Rattus norvegicus: one gene and its partner. Each later gene encodes a partner of the first gene's protein in a complex. Links are inferred from orthologs where the notes say so. Each region holds a gene or a part of one and is shown on either strand. Other genes may lie near its edges. The genes, in order: Strip1 and Pdcd10.

Region 1 (11,341 bases):
AAGGGCATCAGCAATGCTAATGATTACCCATTTATAGTGGTCCCTTGTCAGTCAGGTCTGAGACTCTAATACTCGGATACCTTATTCAGCCCTTGCAACAGGGTTGTCTGTCATTAAGGCAGACATTACAGATAAGCCAGTGAGTAAAGGTAAAGACTCAGGTTAATGTCAGGGCTAGCTGGGTGTGGTACCACACAGTTTGCATCCAGCACTTGAGAGGCATAGTCGAGCTATGATGTTAGCTCCAGGCCACCAGGACGACACAGTGAGATCATCTACATGGTGAGACCCTGTCTCAGAAGGCAGAACAAGAGTCAAGGTTGTCTGACTTCCAAGGGAGTGAACCTCTCTTGAGAGCAGCAGCCTAAGGCTGACTGTGCCAAGTGTTGAATGAAGATAGCAGCTACTGTGACGCTAATCAGTTTATTACACAACAGGCAGGAAAACAGCCTCCCAAGAGATAAACTGAACATGTACAGCAAAGGTAGCTAACACAGGAGTCCTCTAAGACCAGGAAAGGTACTGAGGCTCAAAGCTGGACTAAATGGCACAGACCTGTAAGATCAGTTATTTGGAAGGCCGAAGCAGGAGGATTACATTATCAAGGTCTTGCTGAGTTACAAGCTAGTTCAAGACCAGTCTGGGTAGGTTTACTGAGACCTTGCCTCAAAATAAAAACTAGAGAGTGCTTAGGCTGTATCCCAGCGGCAGAGCGCTCGCCTAGTGTGTATAAAGCCCTGGATGCAACCACTAATGTGTCAAACAAAACAAAACCAAAGCGCGCGCGCGCACACACACACACACACACACACACACACACACACACACACACACACCCCACCACAATAATTCAAGTTCCTTTGAGGGTACACTCAGGGTTAGCCAATAGCTAAGACAAGGCTAAGCCTGGGTGGCCCAGTTAGGGCCTAAAGCAAGGGACATTTGCCATGAATCTTCTGCACTAGGGACCATGTCAGAGCCAATACCAAGCAAGTATGGCTTACAAATGAATAACTGAGCAGTGGCCCTGAGTGCCCAGGGATGACAATGGTTAAGAAGGTGGGGGCAGGGAGCACATGTTTACTGTGGAGACTGCGTTTGAATCCTAGCTCTATCCCTTATTTCTTATGCCCTTGGGCAAGTTCTTTACCCTTTCTGTGCCAGTTTGCACATCTGCAAAATGGGGTCCATGGTGGCATTTACTTTCACGGTACAGTCGCTCCTTCTCTTGTTGCTATGGCAACATATCTGGCAAAGGCAACTTAAAGAAGGGCTTGTTTGGCTCCTAGTTATAGGGGATACAGCCATCATGGAGGAGCCATGGTGAAAGGAGTGTGGGGTGGCTGGTCACATTCTGTCTGTTCACAGAAAACAGATGAACACCAGTGCTCAATACACTTTCTCACTTTTTCCTTTATTCAGCCTATGCAGTGGGGCCTCCCACATTTAGGGTAAGCCTTCCTTCCTCCATTAAACCTCTCTGGAAATGTCCCCACAGACACACATACTGAAGTGTCTTTTTCAGGTGATTTCTAAATCCAGTCAAGTTGATAGTGAAGAGGAACCATCACACGGGGCTATTGTGACACAAGTTGTTTATTGCTAACCACTATGTGGAGAATTCGACTAACAGACACCTTACAGTGTCGGGTCCCTGTGGATCTTCTGAGATGATACTAGCCTAGGGGAAATGTAGGTTGGTATGGAAGCAACACTGGGGAGGCGAAAAGTGGGAGCACTAGGTGCTGGGCTTTAAGAAGCACCACTCTGGGGGAGGGAAATGCAGCCTAGGATGTGGGGGGCTGAAGCTGGGGTTCCATGACTTCTGGGCATACAGTCACTGCTGGGGTATCACACAGAGGAGTCAGAAGGGAGTTGAGGGCCCTTGGGCTGAGGACTATTCCGGGGCCCATGGGAATGGGGATCTCAGCCTTAGCTCATCAGTGAAAGTCCTTAGCTTAGCCATGGTTGTCTGGGAACACAGAGAGGCCTTCTGTGGGAGACTCGGGCAGCGGCTTGGTAGTCGAAGGCATTGTTCATGCTCGCCATTGCAGTTCTCGATGAGACAGTCCATGTTTATCCACATTGTTTACTGACTGTTCATCCTGGAAAACAGATGTGTACCAGCTCCTAAGGGTGGACCAGAGATTAAATACTTTTTGCAGGAAGGAATCTGGGAAGGGAAGCTTATTAGCTAAACCCCCAGGGCCTTTAGATACCTCATTAACACGGAGAACTTTGTTCTGGGCCACATGACCTATGGTGCAACAGCCCAGAACTTCAGTGTCCCATGTGGAAGCATGGCACGTGTTCTGGGCAGGAATCTAGAGGGAACAGGGAGCTGCCTACTGTCTCAGGCGGGCACCTGGGTGCCCTTACTAAGTCTCCTGGCATGGTCCACAGTCACACAGTAATCTATTCCTTGGTACATTAAGGAGAACTGGACCCTTCTGTGTAACTCAACCATTTTCAGAGCGTCTTCATGTTCCTCTCATTACCCAGATGAAATAGCCCGAAATTAGGTGTCTCCAAGATGTTTACACACAAGGACCTGGGTTTTAAAGGCAACATGACAGTAACATGCCAGTCAGAGAAGCTGCTTTGCTCTTTCTTGGGGCCGGCACCTGAATCTAAAGATGAAGGGATTCATCTGCCCTGGCTCATTGCCTTATGGTTTATGGTTTTTGTTCTCTTCTTTAAGGAAGAAGAGAGCCTGGGATGTCTGCAAAGAGGAGCAGGGGAAGTCAAAGCACCAGGCTAAGCGATTTCAGAGAGCTAGATGCATGTTGGATTAAGAACGTGAAACCCACGTTTCTCAGGTATTTCCACATCTATACTTCCTTGTTCTAGCACGCAAACAGCAGACCCACCATGCAAACAAGAACGATGAGACTCCATTGTCCTATGCAAGTTGCTTTGGGGGGAAAAGAGCTAGTCATAGGGACTTTCCAGCCCATAAGGCTTTGTGACTTTCATGTTCTGACCCTTCCACCTGGCTATTATTAACTATGCCACCACATTAAAGCACATCCTGGGGCTCAGCAGGTCGCAGACCCAGCAGGCACTGTATCTAAATACCAACCAAACAGACTTGCCCTGGAACATTTCCTCTATCAGTCAAGGCTCTCCCCCTAGAGACTTAAGACCGCATACATGTTGCCTACAGGGAGCGTCTAGGAATTATGAGAAAGAGCAGTCTGTCACTAAAATCACGAGGGGGTTAAGTCTGAAGAAAAAGAGGCTGAGGCTGATATCTGAGCCAAGTGAGGTTCTAGGACTTAAACGGTCCTGTTCCCCTTGTTTCTCCCTTAGCCATAGGACACCTGCTCTCTCCATTGCTCTCCCACATGAAACTGATTCCTTTGATACACACAACTAACTCTCCTCCTTGTCCCAAACACCTCTGTCCCAGTGAAGACCGAACCAAGTGACTTCACTTAAACCTAGCACTAACTGGCTTGTGTGAGGGCAGCTAAGGAATGTCATCCTGAGAAATCTGAAGTTTCTACTGAAACTATAGCAAGCCCAGGAGTCAGGAACACTGATCCCCAGCAAACCCAGAACCTTAAAGTAATCCAGACTGACGTGGGTAGATGACCAAAGTACCACGTCCTCCTTCCCTGTACACTAGTAGGAAAGGCAGGAAGACAGGCAAGCACTTAGCTGGGCGGAGGAAGAGATACTTTTGAAAACTGACAATTTTCAGACATTTCTATGAGAGAACCTTACACAGCCTAGACTGAACTTGAACTATTTAGCCAAAGCTGACCTAGAACTTCTGATTCGCCTGCTTCCCCCTCTCAAGTGCTGAGATTACAAGTGTGTGCACTGCTATGCCTGTCCTATGTGGTGCTGTGTGCGGATGGAACCCAGGGCTTCTTACCTGCTAAGTAAGCACTCGATCACCTGTGCTACATCCCCAGTCCCCAGAACCTGCATCTACAGACAAGGCGACAGGGACAGTTTTGCTTTCTTTTAATGTAAACAGAATACACAAACACATTAAAAACCCCACCATGACATGAGACCACACAGAGTTTTGTATATTTACAGGCCATGACAATCAAGAAGAAACCAGCACCTCTGGCTTCAGGAAGCCTCACTCCACTTTTGACCACATCCAAAACCAGGGTGCAGAGGCTGTGGTATCTATCACTTCTGGACAAAACTCAGCAGGATACCGGAATGACACGAGATACCCCCAGAGCACAACCAAGGCGCTGACTCTGTTCCTGGCCCTCATGCCACCCCTCCTTCTTGACCAACTGACGTGCCAAAGCAGCTCAGGAGTCAGCATGGCCTCAAGACACAGCTGCCGATGAGAAGGGACACAAGGCCCTTCTCAGCTTTTCCCAGCCTGGGGCTACTTGTGAAATGAGTTTCACGCAGTCAATCCAAGGGAGGAGGGTAGAAACTGGGGAAGTGGAGGAAGAGTAGATCCCAGCTTGGAGATGACTGCTCCTGAGTAGGATGCTGGGAATCAACCAGAGGCTAACCTGGGTTCACTCACGGGCCCAGGACTGGTTCTGGAGGACTCAATGGAGTTGTGCTGCCACCTGGAGGGCAACAGGAGCACTGCAGCAATGGCAAGGACAGTCCCTCGGGTATGAGACAGATCACAGTCTTTTTCATCCCTCCTCACTGCAGCAGCTCTTCCCAGGAAATGGGCTTAGAGAAGACCTCCCTTTCTAGCCATAGGTCATAGTTCATCTGGAAGTCCTCAGGAAGATCTACCCGTTGGCCCAAGACGCTCTGCAGGCAATTGTCCACTGGCAAGAAGTCAGGGTTGCTGTGGGTCCGGTCATAGCGCCGGGCATTGAAGCGTTCAATGTTGGCACGGAGAGCACACTCCTCTGCTTGGAAGTCCCATGGCCGGGCATCGAGATCTGGGAAAAGCAGGAAAACCCAGTTAGGATTCAGCCCTATATAGCTCCTCATGATTTTAACCAAAAGGATCACTCCCAAACCCTCAGAAAGCTGAATAGAAATTCTTTCCCAGAAGTACGGTCAAATCTAAGGAGACAATCCTTAACGCTGAAAAAGAAACTTGCAGATAGATGGGAAAGCCTCCTGCCCCTCCAGGAGGGGGAACCAAACTCTTTATTAAGCACAGCCTCCCCTTGGCTCCAGAGGACAGACACATAACCCTACAGTCCCTCATCTGCTCATTCTCTCACCTCCATGACAAACGTCATGCACCACCTTGAGCCCAGATGCCAGGTATAGAGTTACAGAGAGATGTAACACAGCAACACCCACACAGACAACAGCAGACTGGGAGAAGACGCTGTAGACAGCCAGCAGTCTACAGAGGCCCAGAAGCAGGAAGAACACTGCTAACGCTCAGGGACTAAGGATGGTTTCCCCTGCCCCTGTGCAGTCTGTCTGCAGGCTCAGCAGGACACTGGAGAGCGTGGCTATCTGTGGCTGCTGGGATCTGCAGCGCTCCTGGGAGCAATGCTCAGCAGGTACTGAGGGTCATACTCTGTCTGGAGTCTTGGGTGTGACAGAGACTTGGGTGTGACAGAAAAGAAAGCCACAGACTATGGGACCAGGCGAGTGAGTGAGTGAGCACCCGTCCCTGTCTTAACGTTTGATTTCATTCCTAAGGGAATTAGAAAGCTAATCAGGAATTTTACTCAGGAGGCAACAGTACAGGATGCGTATGTTGAAAAGATTACAGGAGCCAAATCTGAGGCCGACAGTGGGAGGAGAAGCTAGAGCAGAGCCAGTGAGGATCTACTGCACTCAGGCAGCCAGGAGGTAGTAGGCCAGGAGGTAGTAGGCCAGGAGGCTGCAGCAGAGATGAGGAGTGGGCAGAATCTTACGGCAAATTCTAGAAAAGATGGAATTTAGAGTGGAGGGACAGAGAAACAGATGAATGCAGATTCTCAGCAGCTTCCCAAAGTCTTGCCCAGAGCCACAAAAACTAGATACAGGCCCTGCTCAATGCCTAAGGGCAGAGAAAATGAAGGTACCACAGGCAAGGAGTCCAAGGCGTCCCCTGCCCTACCCTCTCCCGCCCGCGCCGCAGGTGGCCTCACCATTGCCGTAAGCCCAGTCGTCGTTCAGCCGGTGCCGCACCTTCTGGTAGATGGCAGACATCGTCTTCATGTTGCTCTTGCGCCACTGTCGTCCCAAATACTTGGTCTGCACCTTGAGCAGCTTCAGCACATAGAGCTGCATCATGGCCTGTTTCACCTTCAGGGCCCGCTTCAGGATGGGCGCCGACTTGAACACCACCAGCATCTGGGCGGCCATGGTGGCAGCCATGGTGAGAAAGCAGTAAGTGTGAGTGCCACTGCACGGTCCCTTAGCACTTCTGGGGTAGCAAACGGGATGACAAGCCATGCAGTTTCTCTTGAACTCACTAGTCTGCTGGCATCTGGAGCTTTAAGCACTACAACTAGCAGAGCTATAGGCGAACCACAAAGGTTGGTCACCCTAGTTACGGGCCACTCTGTAATCTGGTTTCTGAGAACTCATGGACCTTCCTTGTTCCATGGGCAACCCAGGGTTAAGGTGGTTCCTGACTCCTGGCTATCATTTCCCACCCAGGATGAGGAGGACAAAGTGTCTCCATCCAGGAGGTTTGTTTGAGGTCATGACTGAGAGTCTCTTCCAGCTTCTGCTTGTACTCATCAAAAAACCAGAAGTCTGCAGACCTGAATGAGGACAATGCTGCCAGGCAAGCCGCACCTGAGAACCTGTCCCAGGTGGAGGGGACACAGCACATCCCAGGCTGGTTGCTCACCACTCACCATAGTCCTTGAGTGTTTCCACTTCGTTAGCTTGTTCAAGATCCGAAGCAGATTGATGCAAGAAAAGAGATTCCTCCAGCAAAACTGGTTGTTGTCACCAGCTTCCTACAGGGAAAGGCCAGACACAAACACAGCTGTCACGGCTGCAGGCTGTTCACTGGCTGCTCAGTGCAATGTCCAAAGGCCTGACTGACTTCAATGATTCTAGAATGCCCATCTAACAGCCAAAGGGGAACTCCACCCACAAGTTGACAGAGCGTCCAGGATTCAAGACTCTTCCTGCAGGAAACATGAGCTACAAAACTAGGCAGCAGGGCCCCAGACTTCAGTGGGAAGGTGTAGACAGCTTGAGTGGGCAAGTTCTAGGTCAGCAGCCCCTGCAGAACATGCCCCAATAACCATATACCCAACCCCCAATCATTCTGCTCCACAACAGCCCTCTCCCTGACTCTATGACCATTTCTGGTACTTTAAAAGCCAAAGGTGACCTCTTCTGGAAGACACCTTTGTGTTGGGGGAGGTAACGCTCATACCAAAGGGATAGCCAGGGAGATCTGAGCCACTCACCAGACTCTCTGCGGTTAGCTCTGGAAGCTCGTTCACCACGCAGTGAGGGTAATCCAAGACAGAAATGCTACAGAATGCAAAAAGACCCAGATGCTCGCTGTGAGCAAAGGCTGGGTCTGCCAGAGCAGCCGTGATTGAGTTGAAGCAGAAGTAACAATCCACCTCGCCTGTTCTAACCTGATTTCCCTGGCTATAAGATGAAGAAATAAACTTCAGTACGTACAGTCTCTCTGTGACTGACTGAGTCTGTAATGTAATCAGTAACTGTAAGGGGACGTGGAGCATCTATTGCAGCTTTTCCCTTACCATGAATCAAGGCAAGTGATTTATGCCAAGCCCTCTTAGAGGCCACGGCTATCTGGACAGTTCCCATGTGATGCCTCATACTGACAAGCAGGTGCTATGGGGAACAGTGGGCACGAGGTGGGTGTATACAAGAATCATCAGACAAGGATTTATAGTGCACAAGGCCAAGCTCTGTATGAAGAACTGGAGGGGAAAGGGAGGAGGATAGAAGTGACAATTCTAGAACCTAGGATGAGAGCCTCTTGGTCAAACACAAAGTCACTAGAGTAGCTAATCCTATAACTGACACACTGTCATTCATTTTGACTCCCCAGGCCTGGCAAAATGTTAACCCATAGAAGCTTAATGAAAAAGCCTGCTGAGAAGTCTCAGTGGAGACAGCAGGAAGTGCTGCCACCTGGCTACACCACCCTTTCTGGTCTCTGATCCTTATTACCTGTTCTTGGCAGTGATGTAGGACATGATGTTTTGATTGAAGAACTTCAGGATCAAAGGGATGCAGTTGGCAAATACCAGGTGCTGGGCCATGTACTCAAACTGAAACCAACAGAAGAAAATCAAGCATACCTCTTGTTCTCTTTTCTCTACACATAAAAGGCCTTGGCTGGAGGGCCTCATGTTAGAATGCTCACACAAAGTTCAAGTGGGCTCAGAAGTGAAGCCTACACTTAGGGGATAGGGGAGCTTAGGCCCTGCCCAGCCCATAGGAAGGCAGACAGACCCTACAGGTACCTGGTAGATGTGGTTCAACTTGAAGTGCTTGAGCAGCAGCAGCAGCACAGCAGAAATGGCCTTAACGATGACCTCTTTGTGGCGGTTCACATCCACCCCCAGCTTCATGCTCTGCAACACTGTGGTGCTAGAAACACAAGTGCCTGGGTGAGTCACCAGCACACAGCACGTCCTTCTGAGGTGTCCATGGAGGAGACAGACTCCAGAGTCCTCTGGAAAAGGCCCACAATCCTCAAACTTCTCAGAGGTCAGCCTGAGGGTTCTAGCTCCCAAGAGACCCAACTGGGAACAACTTCTAGCTCCCTCCAATGCACAATTAGTCCTCTCTCTGCTTCTCCTCCTTCTCCCTCCAATGCACACTCAGTCTTCTCTCTGCTTCTCCTCTAAAACTGAACTTCTTTTCCAAACTCTCCCTAAGCTTTGGCCACTCTGTTAACTTGAGTCCCCAAAGTATGTTCTGTGGCATGCCAGTAGGTGGGAAATTTCACTCTACAGTGGCGTGGTGGGGGATGTTGAAGTTAGACACATTTAGGGAGCACTAAATTATATATTTCTTAATTCAGGACTTCTCATTGCAAATCTTCAGAAGAAATTCAATATTTGATCATATTTCTTAGGATTATCAAGATGGCCTACTGCTCTGTGAACCCCATTCTGGTATGAGCCAATCTCTGTCTCTTGCTCACCTGGCCACCACCACCACCAGACCTGCGGGTCAGCTCAGAACAAGGCAGCCCTGGCAAGCAAGCAGGTCAGGTGTGGGCCTGGGTCTTTTCTCAATGCAGAATATGACCTCAGGCTGTTCTCTTGCAGGAAAAGACCTGTCAGCCAGAGAGGAAGAATAGCTAAGAGTTTCACTCTCTCCTCTTGAGTCATTTGCCAGAGTTCTGCCTGCCAGTTGACTGGCCAGTAGGAGAACTCCACACAGGTACAGGCTCAGTGGTAGCTGGCAAACTGACCAGGAGCTACCCGTCCCATGCAGGATATGCCAACCACACGGCTCTAGAAGAAGGACTCTGAGAAAGCCTACTGCTCATCTATTTTACAAAGGAAAACTGGCATCCTAATTCATTTCAAGTTCAGTCAGTGACAGTCTGTGTTGGGATTCAGGCCAAGCCATCTCCCTACCTAGTGAAATCTGTCCAATCAATACCTTTGTCTGAACTAGAAATTCCCTAAACTTCACCTGCAGCAAAGCGGGGCCAAGCAAAGAAGCCCACCTGAAGACTCCTGGTCCACCCTCCACCCTCCATCACAGCACTGATACTCACGGCATCTCCTCAGGCAGGACATCTGCCAAGATGTTGATGGAGTCTGTCTTGGCTTTTGACGTGGGAGCTGCAGCCAACAGGATCTTCAGGAGAGCAATCTGGGAAAAACAGACCACCCAGATGAGAATCAGAGCCTAGGACCATAATGAAGCCCTGAGAAGTGGGACTCCTGAGGGTCCTCAGGCGGCAGGAGCCTTGTAGGGTGAAGGAGAGCAGCCGTGCTCCTTCAGGGCCTCACCACGGGTGCTTACTGAGAGAGCACTCACCATATACTGAGGCAGGCTAGGGAGCAAGCCTTGATAGAGGGTTTCTGCAGGAACTTGTTCAACTTCCTCTTCTCCCTTTAAAACAAAACCTATGCTCAGGATACAGTCCTGAGCCCATTTACTAGCTGGCTAGAATAGAGTCTCTAAGCATCAAAGTGAAGACGCTGGTGACACTGACAGGAGGCTCTAAAACATCCCAAGAATGTCACTTGGAATAGGTTAATACTGCGTAAGGCACCACAGTTGTGCACGTTAGCAAACACCTGTAACCCAGCACCAAAAAGGCTGACAAAGGTGTTTGAGGCCATCTGGGCTACAGATAGATGTTACCTCAACAGACACTAGATAACGAAGAGAGAAGGCACTAGTCTAACACTGGTCTTTTACAGGTAGGAAACAAAGCTCAGAGAGATCAAGTTTCATGCTCAAGGTGCCATTCACAGACTGAGAGAAAGACATGGATGGGAATCTCTTCAAGGAGAGGCTGACTCCCGGAGCAGCCTTGTGGGCCAGGCCCAGTTCAGAGACTGAGAGCAGTTGGGGACTTTGTGCCTCTTAACTCACCCCTGAGAGAGGAGAGCGAAGGTATTCCTCCTCCATCTGTGCCTGGACCTCTGCAATCGATGTATATTTGTGCTAAGGAGAAAGGCAGGAAAGAAGGTGCTGCGAGAAAAACTCTGGCCAGACACCCCCCCTCACCTGGCAAAGACCCAAGATTTTATTTTGGTCTTCTGAAAGAGGGCTAAGTCACAACAAGATTCCTAACTTAAAACTACTTCTGACAACCTGTGTGAAAAACTCATAGTAGTTAGCAAAAAGCAAAGCAAAGTGGAAAGGACTTCCAGAGGCAAAAATGACAGGAGAAGACATCAGAGGCAAAACTAACTGTATACTCAGAAGCCTAGCTGCAGACCACCTAGGACTACCAATTTCAAAACTGGACTTAAAAATATCACAGCTCAGACACATTGGAGATGCTCTCCTGACCCTTCGTGTCTTCTCCCTGCTAATCCTTACACCCACAGTTCCCTCAGCTTCCTCAGAGGCGAGCACGAGAGAAAAACAAGATAGTCTGAGACTCTACCTGCCTGTGTGCTGAGTGCCTGGGTCCTGCCTGCCCTCCAGCTCTGTCTGGGACTAGGTAACTGAGCCCGCACGGTTTCTAGAGTATGCTAGTAGCACACCACCATGGTGCTCTTAGGCCTTGCTCTCCAGCTATTCTATGAACACCGAAGCTGACGGCATCATATCCACTTGCCAACGCCCCTCAATTGTCTTAGAACTTGGCTAAGGAAAAGGGAAGGCTACTCGCGGGCTCCGTGCAGTCTAAAGACTGATGTGTACATATCTGTAGACGATGCATACTCATGAAGAGACACTCCCCAGGCTCTTGCTGGCAGACAATAGCCCTGAAAGGCCTCTCCCTTGGCCCAGGCTC
Region 2 (11,394 bases), about 35 Mb from region 1:
GTTTTCTATAAATTTAAAACTAATGTTCACTTACGACTTTCATATAGTTTTCTTAAATACTCATTTGCCTTTGTCTTCCTTCACTCAGGGTGTCCTATCTCTAGTCTTCTCTTATGTAGCTACTTTATCTTCCCTTTAGCACAGTGCTAGCCTGAGAGCACCCCAAGGCCACCTGCTTACATTTAGGCAATGTTCCTAGGCAATCAGGTAGAAATCTTCCAAAGTGGAACTGTGGCAATGAACATTTATAAACTGACCGAGGATGGCTTTAATATGGAGAAAGGATTGAGAATTATTGTTATTAAGCTCTAAACTCTACATACTACTTTTTCCACGGATTGGCAGCTTTGACAGCACCTGAACAACCTTTAAAATTATACAATTATTGAACCCCAACTTAGAGCTATTCCATTAGATGCTACTAAAGTTTAAGAAGAAATATTTTGGGTTGGTACAAAGTAGTAAGTTAAGACTGGCTTAATGGACCGAAGGAAAGGCCATCCAGAGACTGCTCCACCTGAGGATCCATCCCATATGCCGACACCAAACCCAGACACTATTGCTAATGCCAAGGAGTCATGCTCACAGGAGCCTGATACAGTTGTCTGCTGAGAGGCTCTGCCAGAGCATGACAAATACAGAGGTAGATGCTCACAGCCAACCACTGAACTGAGCATGGGGTCCCCAATGGAGGAGTAAGGGGAAGGACTGAAAGAGCTGAAGGGGTTTGCAACACCATAGGTAGAACAACAATATCAACCTAACAGACCCTTCCCATAGCTCTCAAGGTCTAAATCACCAACTAAAGAGTACACATGGAGGGACCCATGGCTCCAGCTGCATATGTAGCAGAGGATGGCCTTATCTGGCATCAATGGGAGGGGAGCCCCTTGGTCCTGTGGAGGCTTGATGCCCCAGTGTAGGGGAATGCTAGGGTGGTGTGGCAAGAGTGGGTGGGTGGGTGGCTAAGTATCCTCATAGAAGCAGGGGGGAAGGGGGATGGGATAGGGAGGTTGCAGGGGGGAGACAAAGAAGGGGAATAACATTTGAAATGTGAATAACAACAACAAAAAAGGGCTGACTTCATATCTCTAAATGTTTAAAAAAAACCCACCAAAAAAAAAAAACCAAAACAAAACAAGAAAACAAATATACAAACAAACTGCATTCAGGTAGTTTGTTCAGTTTAAAGTTTAGCATCTGGTCCTTTTCAAAAAGTTTCAAAATCCTTAAAGTAGGTTTCAGTTGTGGTTAGAACAGTAACCACTCTCCAATCTGCTGCCTTTGTTGAATAAGATGACTATTAAGGATGGAAGACAGAACTCAACAGCCACTGATTTTATGTTTTAATTTCTTTTTTTTTTAAAGATTTATTCATTTATTATATATAAGTACACTGTAGCTGTCTTCAGACACACCAGAAGAGGGCATCAGATCTCTTTACAGATGGTTGTGAGCCACCATGTGGTCGCTGGGAATTGAACTCAGGACCTCTGAAAGAGCAGATCTGAGCCATCTCTCCAGCCCTTATGTTTTAATTTCTATGTTCAATTTTCTCTTTTAGCTCCTTTCACTAAGTGGGTGTTTGGAATTAAACTGTGGATGAGAGGCTAGGCTGTGAGAGCCTTTACCCATGGAGACCTCTTACTGGCTCAATTTCAAGAGCCTACAAAAACATTCATTTAATTATAGTAGAAAAGTATTAATGACCATACTTACTTGCCATCTTTAAAATATGTCTTCAGAGTGTCACTGAAACTTTTGGAGTATTTTACAAATTCTTTCTTTTGGTGTTCAAGTGCCTATATTTACAGAAAGAAAAATAAGCTAAGTCAGAAGAAGAGCACAGAAGGCTAAGTCAAAGGGCAAAGACGGCAATGAATATGGGATGGATTTATACTCCGTAAGTCTGTGAAGTGTTTACTCACATAACCACACATCCACATCTGAGGACAAATGCAATGAGACAAATTCCAATACCCTCACCCTTCAGTCCACAGGCCATAAAACAACTGTATGCAAGCCCATATCTATGGTACCAACAACAAGCAACTTACCCTGCGGTTCTGGTATTGATATTTTTTAAAGACATTATTCACTGTATCAAGTAGTTCTTTTATTGCACTAGCTATATCCCTGTTTGAAAAGAAATAACACAATATTTAAAATCAGCTACATTGCAAGAAATATGTATGTATAATTATGAATCATGCTATACCACTTCACTTCCCCCACTGTTATGTATGCCTGTATGTCAGAAACTTTCATAGATTATCTATCCCGGCTCTGCCTGAGGGCTGGGATTAAAGGTATGCACCACATGGCTGGCTATTCATCTACATCTCTATCTATAGCCATTATCTTTTTGTTTTTGAGACAAGATATCAAGTAACCAGGGTAGCTTTGAACTCTACATGTAAACAAAAACTGTGAACTTCTATGATCCTCTTGGATTCATATCCAGAGTGAAATCATTCCCAGTGCACTGTTAGGAATTAAATCCTACTCTTTACACATGCAAGGCACACTCTCTACCAACGCCAGACTATCCATTTACATACTTAATTTTCTCAGTTCATGAAGTACTTCAGCTCATTCTGGAGTAGTAACACCATTTTTTCCAAACATGATGAATATACACCATCTCTTACATGCAAAGCACTGATATTAGGGTAGAACATAAAACGTTCCCTAGTGGAGTAGAATTATTTTCACACAGAAATAACACCTAGCCATTTACCACCACTGCTCCTTATTTAATAGTTGCAGCCTAAATCATGGAAGAGCCTCTCTATTTTCAAACAACTTCAATATTTTGCTTTGATGTGAAGGGCATAGTCCATCATATTTAGTAAAATTGTGTCACTGAACCTTGCTGTATTTTTGAGAAAAATTATACTTGTAACCAATATAAAATGTTAAATCTTCATATGAAAGAAAGTTTCACTAAATCTACAATGGAGCTAACTAAAATAAAGAAGGTAACAGTGATCACATAGATATGTAAATGTAACATCATTTTTTAAGCGTATTTTAGTATTCTACAAAAAATAATTATTAACTTGTTGCCATGGCTAGTGAGAAAGAGATTATAACAGAAATGGCTGGACAGAGCAGGTCAAGTGAGAGCTCAGAAAGAGACTGCTTAACTTATCTGGCAAGAAAAGCAAGTCAGGAAGAAGAGAAAGGGCTTTGCTTTTGAGAACTGGGAATCTGAAAGGCGAGCATGATGACAGCTGCTGAATCACAGTCTCTAGCGAGGCTTTCCTCAGACAGCAAATCACAGAGCCATCACAAATACCAAAATATCGGCACAAAGCTAGGGTAATCAGGTGAGTGACTACAGAGCCTGGTTTTAGCTGCACTTAACAGGAAGGAAAGGGTATCCATCATCCTTGTCTTTCAACTTCAAGAAGCCCAGAGCAAAGCAAGGTACCTCTCAGTTAGAAGAAAAGAAAATTGTTCATGGCCCAGGGATAGAACAGCTTTAGCAAAGCCACAGCAGGACCCAGGGCTAGACAAAAGCCTAGTAACTTGCTGCTGGGGCCAGGAACTTAGCTGCTAGAACAGCATCAGGCTAGGAGCCTAACGGCCTGGACAAGCTATGTTCTACAGAATAAGCTGGGAGGAAGAACAGGACAGCTCTGTCTCACTGTTAGGTCTAAGTCCACAGTGAGGAAAAGCAAGCACCTAGAGACACTGAGGCCCTGTATGAGAGAGAGAGAGAGAGAGAGAGAGAGAGAGAGAGAGAGAGAGAGAGAGAGAGAGAGAGAGCGAGCTTCAAACAGCCTAGGACCAGCTCTGTTATTGGGCAGAGGTCTGTACATTTGCAGCTCATGGTTATGCTACCTGACGAGACTTATGCAGATCTCTGGGGCTAAGGTTTAGGTACAACTCAGATCTCTGGGGCTAAGGTTTAGGTACAACTCAACTTTGCATTATTAATTTGTGGCTCCCTCCTCCACCCAAGTAGCATAGCTATAATTAGGTCTAAGCTCATAATGGGATTCCAGCACTGTCCCAGCATCTAACTAGTTTGGCTTGCAACACTGCTGGCTACCACAAAAGGTGAGGTATACCTGGGACTTACGCATAACAAAACCTGGTATGAGTTCTCAACTTAAAGCCAGATGCTTGATGCTGAGCAGTTTCCCAGGTGATGGTGTCAGCAGAGCTTCCTGAACAGCTCTAAATAACCTAGGAACATGAACCCTCCTCTATTAGACTTCTAATCTAGAAGCATCACTGATACCTAGTATTTTCTCGGATTATATGTATACTGAAAACCAGGAGACTTTGCAAGAAAGGGTCTTGGTTCTAATTTTCCAATACAGTGGTCTTCATTGCCCAGGGGCTTGGAGCATGACAGAGATTAGTGGTATGGTGGTCACAGCTACAAGACAGTACTCGAGTACTGCTCCATGCAATGACTCTGTCTGAAGCCAAAGACAACCCTGTAAAAAGTCAGACCTTAGGCCAGGTACTGTGAAAAAGGCCTTCACCCTATGTGGGCCACAGAGAAAGGCTTGAGCATAAGAGAATCTTCTCTCTTTAATTTCTGAGCAATAAATCTTAACAATGTACCAATGAACAAAATTACTACTAAATTCTCCTTTATTCCAACCTCCCAATAAATTCTAAGAAACAAGATTACCCCAACACCAGATAACAACATAAAACACTGTAGCAAAATAAAACAGATTAAAAAATGGACAAGAAACTCAAACAGACATTTTTAAAAACATCAGTGTCTAACTAATGACACTAAAAGTAGGTGATAAGACAATACTGCTAAGTAACAAAGAAACACAAATCAAAAGCATAATAAGCCATCATTTCAGCCACAGTGATAGCAACACAAAGTAAGGAATGTTGGCAAGGCTGCAGAGAAAAGCAGAGCCACAAACACTGAGGGTGGGAGTGTAAATTATCAGCATGTTATGTGGACAACAGTACTAGTCATTTCACTGCTTGGGTACACATCTAACACGATGAAATAAGTCTATCAAATAGATGTTCTACACTCCCATGTTCACCAGAGCTGTTCACAAAATAGTCAAAAAATAGTAAACAAGTCTGGTGTTCATCAACTGCTGGATGAATGGAAAAACCCAGTACAGATATACTGGATACTATTCAACAGTGAAAAACAATGAAATCCTGTAATCTATGATAATATGAATGGAATAAGACACTATTGTTAGATGAAATAACTCATAGAGAAAAAACAACACCATATAATTTCACTTGGAAGGAGAGTCTAAAGATGTTGATTTGATAACAGTTGAAAGTAAATGGTTGTGAGGAGAGGCTGGGAAGAGTGGAGGAAGGAGTACAGGGAAAGTATGATCATTGAATACTAAGTCACAGTTAGACAGGAACAAATTATGGCGTGGTACTGCATAGTAAGTAGAGTGACTATACATAACAATTACATGCCAATTTTTAAAAAACGACCTAGGATTTTTAAGTTTACACAAGGCAAACATGTGTTAGACATCACATGGCTCCCACTGATACATATAACCTTTGTATTCCTGGCTATCTATTACAATACAATTAAGAGTCTACACAAGTATGGATGAGCCACATTTTCAATCCTCTGCTATTTGGGAATGTGCAGCTAAGCCTGCTACTAGAAGATCAGGCAAATCACGGCGACTTACCCAGCTGCTGAAAAATGTTCTTGAAAAACATCCTGAAATAACTTACATTGAATAAATTATCCATAGATAGACAGTATAACATTGTTTACAGCACCAAGGTTTGCACTAGGGACATTGAATTATATTAGTAATCACCTGAGAATTAGCAAATTACCTAAGAACATAACAGCACAAAGGAATACTTAGCCAGTGAACCAGATAAAGAATTGAGATACAATAACTCTTTTAGATATAAATAATTTACAGCAGATGAAATCTGTGATAACTGACAGCAATATTTATATTCCCATAAAATTTGGTACAGTAGGTCATACTGGCTTAAAAGTAGCAAAATATGGGAAAGTAGGATTACTAATTTAAATATGAAAAAGTATGATTTGTTAAAAAAACTAAATTGTAGCCATCTGCACTATTCATACTCGATTGACTTCTCTTTTCCCAAATAATGTGAACATCCAAAAACATAAGACAAATGAATCCTGAAATGTATACAAAATACATTTCCACTGCCGTTACTCTATTAGTGCATTCAAAAAGTAGAAGTAAAATTGCAACGCCTAAGCCTTTGTTAAAAACTACAGGCAAACTCTCAAGGGATTGATTGATCAGGACCTTAACTGCTCATAATGTGACTTGCACTCTATTTCCTAGAAACCACAGCAGGTTAAAGAGACTTCCTAATGTAGTGGTTCTTAATCTTTCTAACACGTTCCTCGTGTTAAGTGAACCCCAACCATAAAATTATATTGTTGCTACTTCATACCTATAATTTTACTACTGTTATGAACCCTAATGTAAATATGTGATATGTGGAATATCTAATATGTGACCCCAAAGAGGTCCTGACGAACAGATTGAGAAACACTGCCTTGGAGGGCAGAAACTATCATGAGGATGCCATTTCTGGTGCTATCCTTTCTGCCTTGGTGTACACTGTAATACTCCTCTCTAGTCTACTGACATTCAATAGAAGATATCATTATCACATTTCATTCAAATAGCAGAAGCCTGTCTGCACATGATTAGATCAACATCAATATAGGAATGGAACATAGCAGAGAATGCTGCCCTATACCCTTAGGAATATAACTTACTTTTATTTGTGGCTCATTCTCTTCATCTTTCAGGGAAATAATTATTAATACTATATCATTAACATATTAATACAAAGAAGTGCTTATGCTGCAACATAATCTTGTTTCTTTCCTTATCATTCAAAACATATGCTCCAAACATTTAACAGAGCATTTTGTAGTGAATGTCAAAGAGGATATTCCTGAGCACAAAACTGGCACTTACTTCATGTGGTTTCTTTTTATGGTTTCAAGGTAACACACAATTTAGCCTATGCCACATAACCATGCTAATAAAACTATGCTTCCCAGAAACCTTTACCTATGGCTTCCCCGAAGCACTACATTAATTGCAGATACAATTATTCCAGCTTGTGCTGCTTTCTAGCTATGAGGCTGAAGAGAATTACCACAGACACTTAGCTAGAAAGTATTTCCATCATTCACTAGTACAACCCTCAAAGGTGTTAGGTTGGTGATTTTGTCAACCTGACACAAGCTAGGGTCTTCTGAGAAGAGGACACCTCAGTTGAGAAAATGTATCCATGACATTGGCTATAGTGAACCTGGGGGGAATTTTCGGTTTGAAGCCTGATGTGTGGGAGGAATTACTCCTGGGGAGGTAGTCATGAAGTGTGTAACAGTGATCATGAGCCAGCTGGTAAACAGCACTCCTCCATGGCCTCTACTTCAGTTCTTGCCTCCAGAATTCTGCCTTGGCTTTTCTCAATAGGCTGTGAGTTATTTGGCTCAGTCTGACACCCAGCTCTCTAGAACTCACTACTCCTTTGCTGCCCAGCTTCTTAGCCCTTGTTACTTAACCTATAATCCAAAAGCAAGGATTTAGAGGTTCAACTTGGTAAATATCAAAAAACTCCATTCACATCTATATATTCATTTATTCCGATGATTTATGCCACTTTTGAAAGGAAAGCAACATTGGAACTTTCTGGCTACCAACATAGTGCCTACATTTGCTTTTGTCTGAAATATACAGGTTATTTACAGAATTTGTATATATACTGTCTTAGCATTTTATTGCTTTAAAAGGACATAATACTAAGGTCACAAAGGCAAACTTTTAGTTGGGGCTGACTTACAGTTTCAGAAGTTCAGTCTAATACCATCACGGTGGGAAGCATGGCATTATGTAGGCAGACTTGGTGCTGGAGGACCCAAGAATTCTACATCTTGATCTGAACACAGGCAGGAGACTAGTCTTCTGCAGGCGCCCAGGAAGAGGCTGTCTTTCCACACTGGGTAGAGCTTGAGCATTCAGACCTCATTGCCAACCCCCACAGGGACGATCTTTCTCCAAGGCCTTGACTACTCTAACAAGGCTACAGCTCCTAAAAGTGCCATTCCTCATGGGCCAAACACTCAAAGAATGAGTCTACGGGAGCCAGACCTTTCAAATTTCCACATAAAGTTTAATTTATATGGTTTAAGTTATTTGATTCATTATTGACAATTAAACATTCTAAAATGTCAGGATACTCTGAGGCCATTATGTCCAAAGTCCATGGCATTCAAAATTTCAGGTTTTATTACAACTTAATATTTTAATAAAATTCCTATCAAAATAAACAGAATTAATGATTGTTTTTAAATAAATCAAAGTAAAAACCTCACTTACTTGATTGTCTGCAGAAACCTCACTCTGTCATTGATCTCGTCTGGAATCTTACTGAGAATCTGTTTAAGTGCCCGTGCCTTTTCATTTAGGTCCTGGAATTCTGGCTCTGGTCGTTCAATCATGTACTCTGATAAAACAGAAACACAATAAAAATGTCATGTGACTCCGACAAATTCAATCTAACAACTCCCAATGCAGACTAAAGGAAGGATAGAGTGGGAAGACAGTCATTTAGTCCGAAAACAGAAACAAAGTTCAACTTGGTCAGGTGTAAAAATAAATAAATAATTTCTAAAGTAAAACAGAGTAAGACTACATATCTTTGAGATATATGAGGAAATGTAATACAATCTTAAATAATCCACCCATCCATTGATTTAAAGAAAGGAGGCTCCTTAACTCATGAGTCCTGATGTTCTGTATTGATGTCCCATGAGATCTTAAATAATGACACTCATAAAGAAGAAGTAGGTCATTTACATATTTGTAAAAAGGAAAGGGGAATTCAGAAACTTAAAACCCCTATAGTGTGGAATGTAGTACAGCCTACTTTATTAAGCTTCCTTTAGTATTGAATATGTGATGGGCAATAATATTAAAACTCCTACAGTACTGAATCTACTATAGTGTAGAATATTTTATGGTTCATCATACTAAAACCACATCGTGTTGAACATACTTTGGCTCATATTAAAATGTCTACAATGTGAAATATACTGTAGTTCATTATATTATAATCACAAACTTCCTACAATTTTCAGTATATTCTTAAAATTTCATTTGAAAACAAAGGCCAATACAAGCTCAACATATAGGCTGGGCTCCTAAAATGGCTTTTAAAAAGAAGTCTCAGTCAGACTTGGTAGATAAAAAGGCTTCTTACTACCAGGCTCACTGTCTAGTAGGAAGCTCATCAACTTAAAAACGGCTCACTTCTTTCAAATGCTACACAGAATATTTCTCAGAACTTTCAGTGAATTTGAAATTTGTCGATCCCTATATTAATGGGCAAAAAGATAAAAGTGTGTTGTATCAACAAATATGTCACTTAACTAAATTTGACAAATACAGAAAAGTTAAAGAGTCTGCTTGTTTCCTTTTACAGATAATGTCCACTACCATCACAAGAAGCATGAAGGAAGGGGGACAACTGGTAATGATCTGAAGGAAGTGCTTCTCAAGAATGGAGAAACTAAACACAAGTCTTCGTTCTGGTACCTTCTACGTCATCAGCTGCCATACGAAGAAGGGACTCAGTGAAGTTAACTTCTACACTTTTTTTCTCTAAGATTTTCATAATGATGTCTTGTGTGAGGCCTGGATTTTCCTTTTCAGCCTGCAAGAAAAACATGTAATGAGTCAACTGTCTGGTTCGAGATCTCTGGCTTCTGTGACAGAGGGATATACTGTGAGAAACACTGCTTCCACAATGAGATGCTTCCCATGCTTTGTTTTTTGTTTGTCTGTTTCTTTATTTTGGAGGGAGGTTTCAAGGACAAGGGGCAGATACAAGGGGATGGATGGGAAGATGAGTGGGACTGGCATACATGATGCAAAATTCATAAAGAATTAATAAAAAGGTAAAAAATCCTTACACTTCTCATGTTTTCCTATAAAAAATATCTCTAGTTTTGAAATACAGAAATGTGATCAGCATTTTAAAGCTAAAACTTAATTGTTAAGAATTTATTTACTTATAAGAACAGAAAGCATCGGTGACACGGTGCCACTAAGGGCACCATCAGCTTTGCTCAGCTTATACGTCAGAAGCTTTTATCATGTGCAAAGTCACAGACACACCGAGCATTCCTTGCCTTTCTATTATGTCTTCTCTCAGTCAACCAACAATGACAAAATCTCTTTATGATAGATTGCTCTTATCATGAATACACTGAGACATTTTAGCATATATAATATTTCATCTTAGATGGGCAATAATAACTCATCAAATGTTTTTGGAATATGTGCTGTATTAGAATTAAATACCAGGAAAAGCTAAATAAAACACTAGGGTAGCTTTTGCACTTTTAAGTAAAATTGATTTATTCACTTACCTACTTTTCATAGAATAATTTCCATTTCTCATTTTAGCTTTATAGCAAGAAATTTTGTTCAATGGTTTTTAAATTATCACTCATTGAAATTTGATTTTTTATTTACTGTTACTGGGATGTGTATGTGTGTGTGTGTGTGTGTGCGCGCGCGCGCGTTGCTTGGCCATAGGCAAGTACCCATGTACAAGTATAAGTGATAGGACAGCTCCGGGGAGTCACTTTTCTTCTCCCACTTTGCATGGGCTCGGGGAATTGAATTTTGCACATCAGGTTTGCTTGACAATTGCATTTCTGCATGGAGCCTTCCCAGCAGCCCTCTAGAGTACCCTGGAAAGCTACCGACAGAGCACGATAGATAATGTGGAGCATTATAAATAAATGCACATCTCTTAGGGCCCTAGAATCTAGCCATGCCAAGATTGAATATAAAGGCAAGTTTTGTACTTCCACTTTCACAGTAATTTAGTCTATTCCATTACTTAAATTTTTTTAATCAAATTGAAATTGTGTCTCCTTAAGGATGCCTGCCAATTAAATCTATATAACAGTTTTTCTTTTATCCTAATAATCATGTAGAAGCATAATTTCTAATCTTGATCCAATGACACTCATTCAGCTTCCTGAGTTTCAAACACAATTAACCTCTCTGACTCTGGAGCTCCATCCTAATGTCACCGAGGTTACAGTTTTCTTGTGTTCATCACTTTCTTAAAACACTCTTGAGATCTCAAGTAGGAAAACCTTAGAGGTTATGAACTGAAGTGGGGAAAGGCACAAAATATACACATGGGATGGATCACTGTTCTTGCAGCATCTAAATTCTGTTTCGTCAAGGTAACCCTCAAAAGAAAAATGATTCAAATTTGGTTAAATGAGCTATTATAGTCTTAGTTTCCTGAACTGCCAAAAATTATACTAGATGCTTATTTCATAACAGTTGTTTATCTTCCTTGTCCAAGTAGCAT

What was found.
Region 2: Strip1 (region 1) and Pdcd10 share a complex: the UniProt entries of both Homo sapiens proteins name them as parts of the core of STRIPAK complex. The link is inferred for Rattus norvegicus from reciprocal best matches to the Homo sapiens genes STRIP1 and PDCD10.

The regions. Positions count from the first base shown.
Region 1 is NC_086020.1:197,932,611-197,943,951, forward strand, and holds the end of Strip1 (striatin-interacting protein 1), read right to left. Parts: intron 10,540-11,341; coding exon 10,468-10,539; intron 9,979-10,467; coding exon 9,904-9,978; intron 9,736-9,903; coding exon 9,638-9,735; intron 8,494-9,637; coding exon 8,367-8,493; intron 8,172-8,366; coding exon 8,071-8,171; intron 7,396-8,070; coding exon 7,329-7,395; intron 6,867-7,328; coding exon 6,762-6,866; intron 6,250-6,761; coding exon 6,045-6,249; intron 4,887-6,044; coding exon 4,639-4,886; 3' UTR 3,959-4,638; downstream 1-3,958. UniProt on the Homo sapiens protein: Plays a role in the regulation of cell morphology and cytoskeletal organization. Required in the cortical actin filament dynamics and cell shape. Part of the striatin-interacting phosphatase and kinase (STRIPAK) complexes.
Region 2 is NC_086020.1:162,604,934-162,616,327, forward strand, and holds part of Pdcd10 (programmed cell death protein 10), read right to left. Parts: intron 9,712-11,394; coding exon 9,594-9,711; intron 8,503-9,593; coding exon 8,376-8,502; intron 2,137-8,375; coding exon 2,058-2,136; intron 1,803-2,057; coding exon 1,720-1,802; intron 1-1,719. UniProt on the Homo sapiens protein: Promotes cell proliferation. Modulates apoptotic pathways. Increases mitogen-activated protein kinase activity and STK26 activity. Important for cell migration, and for normal structure and assembly of the Golgi complex.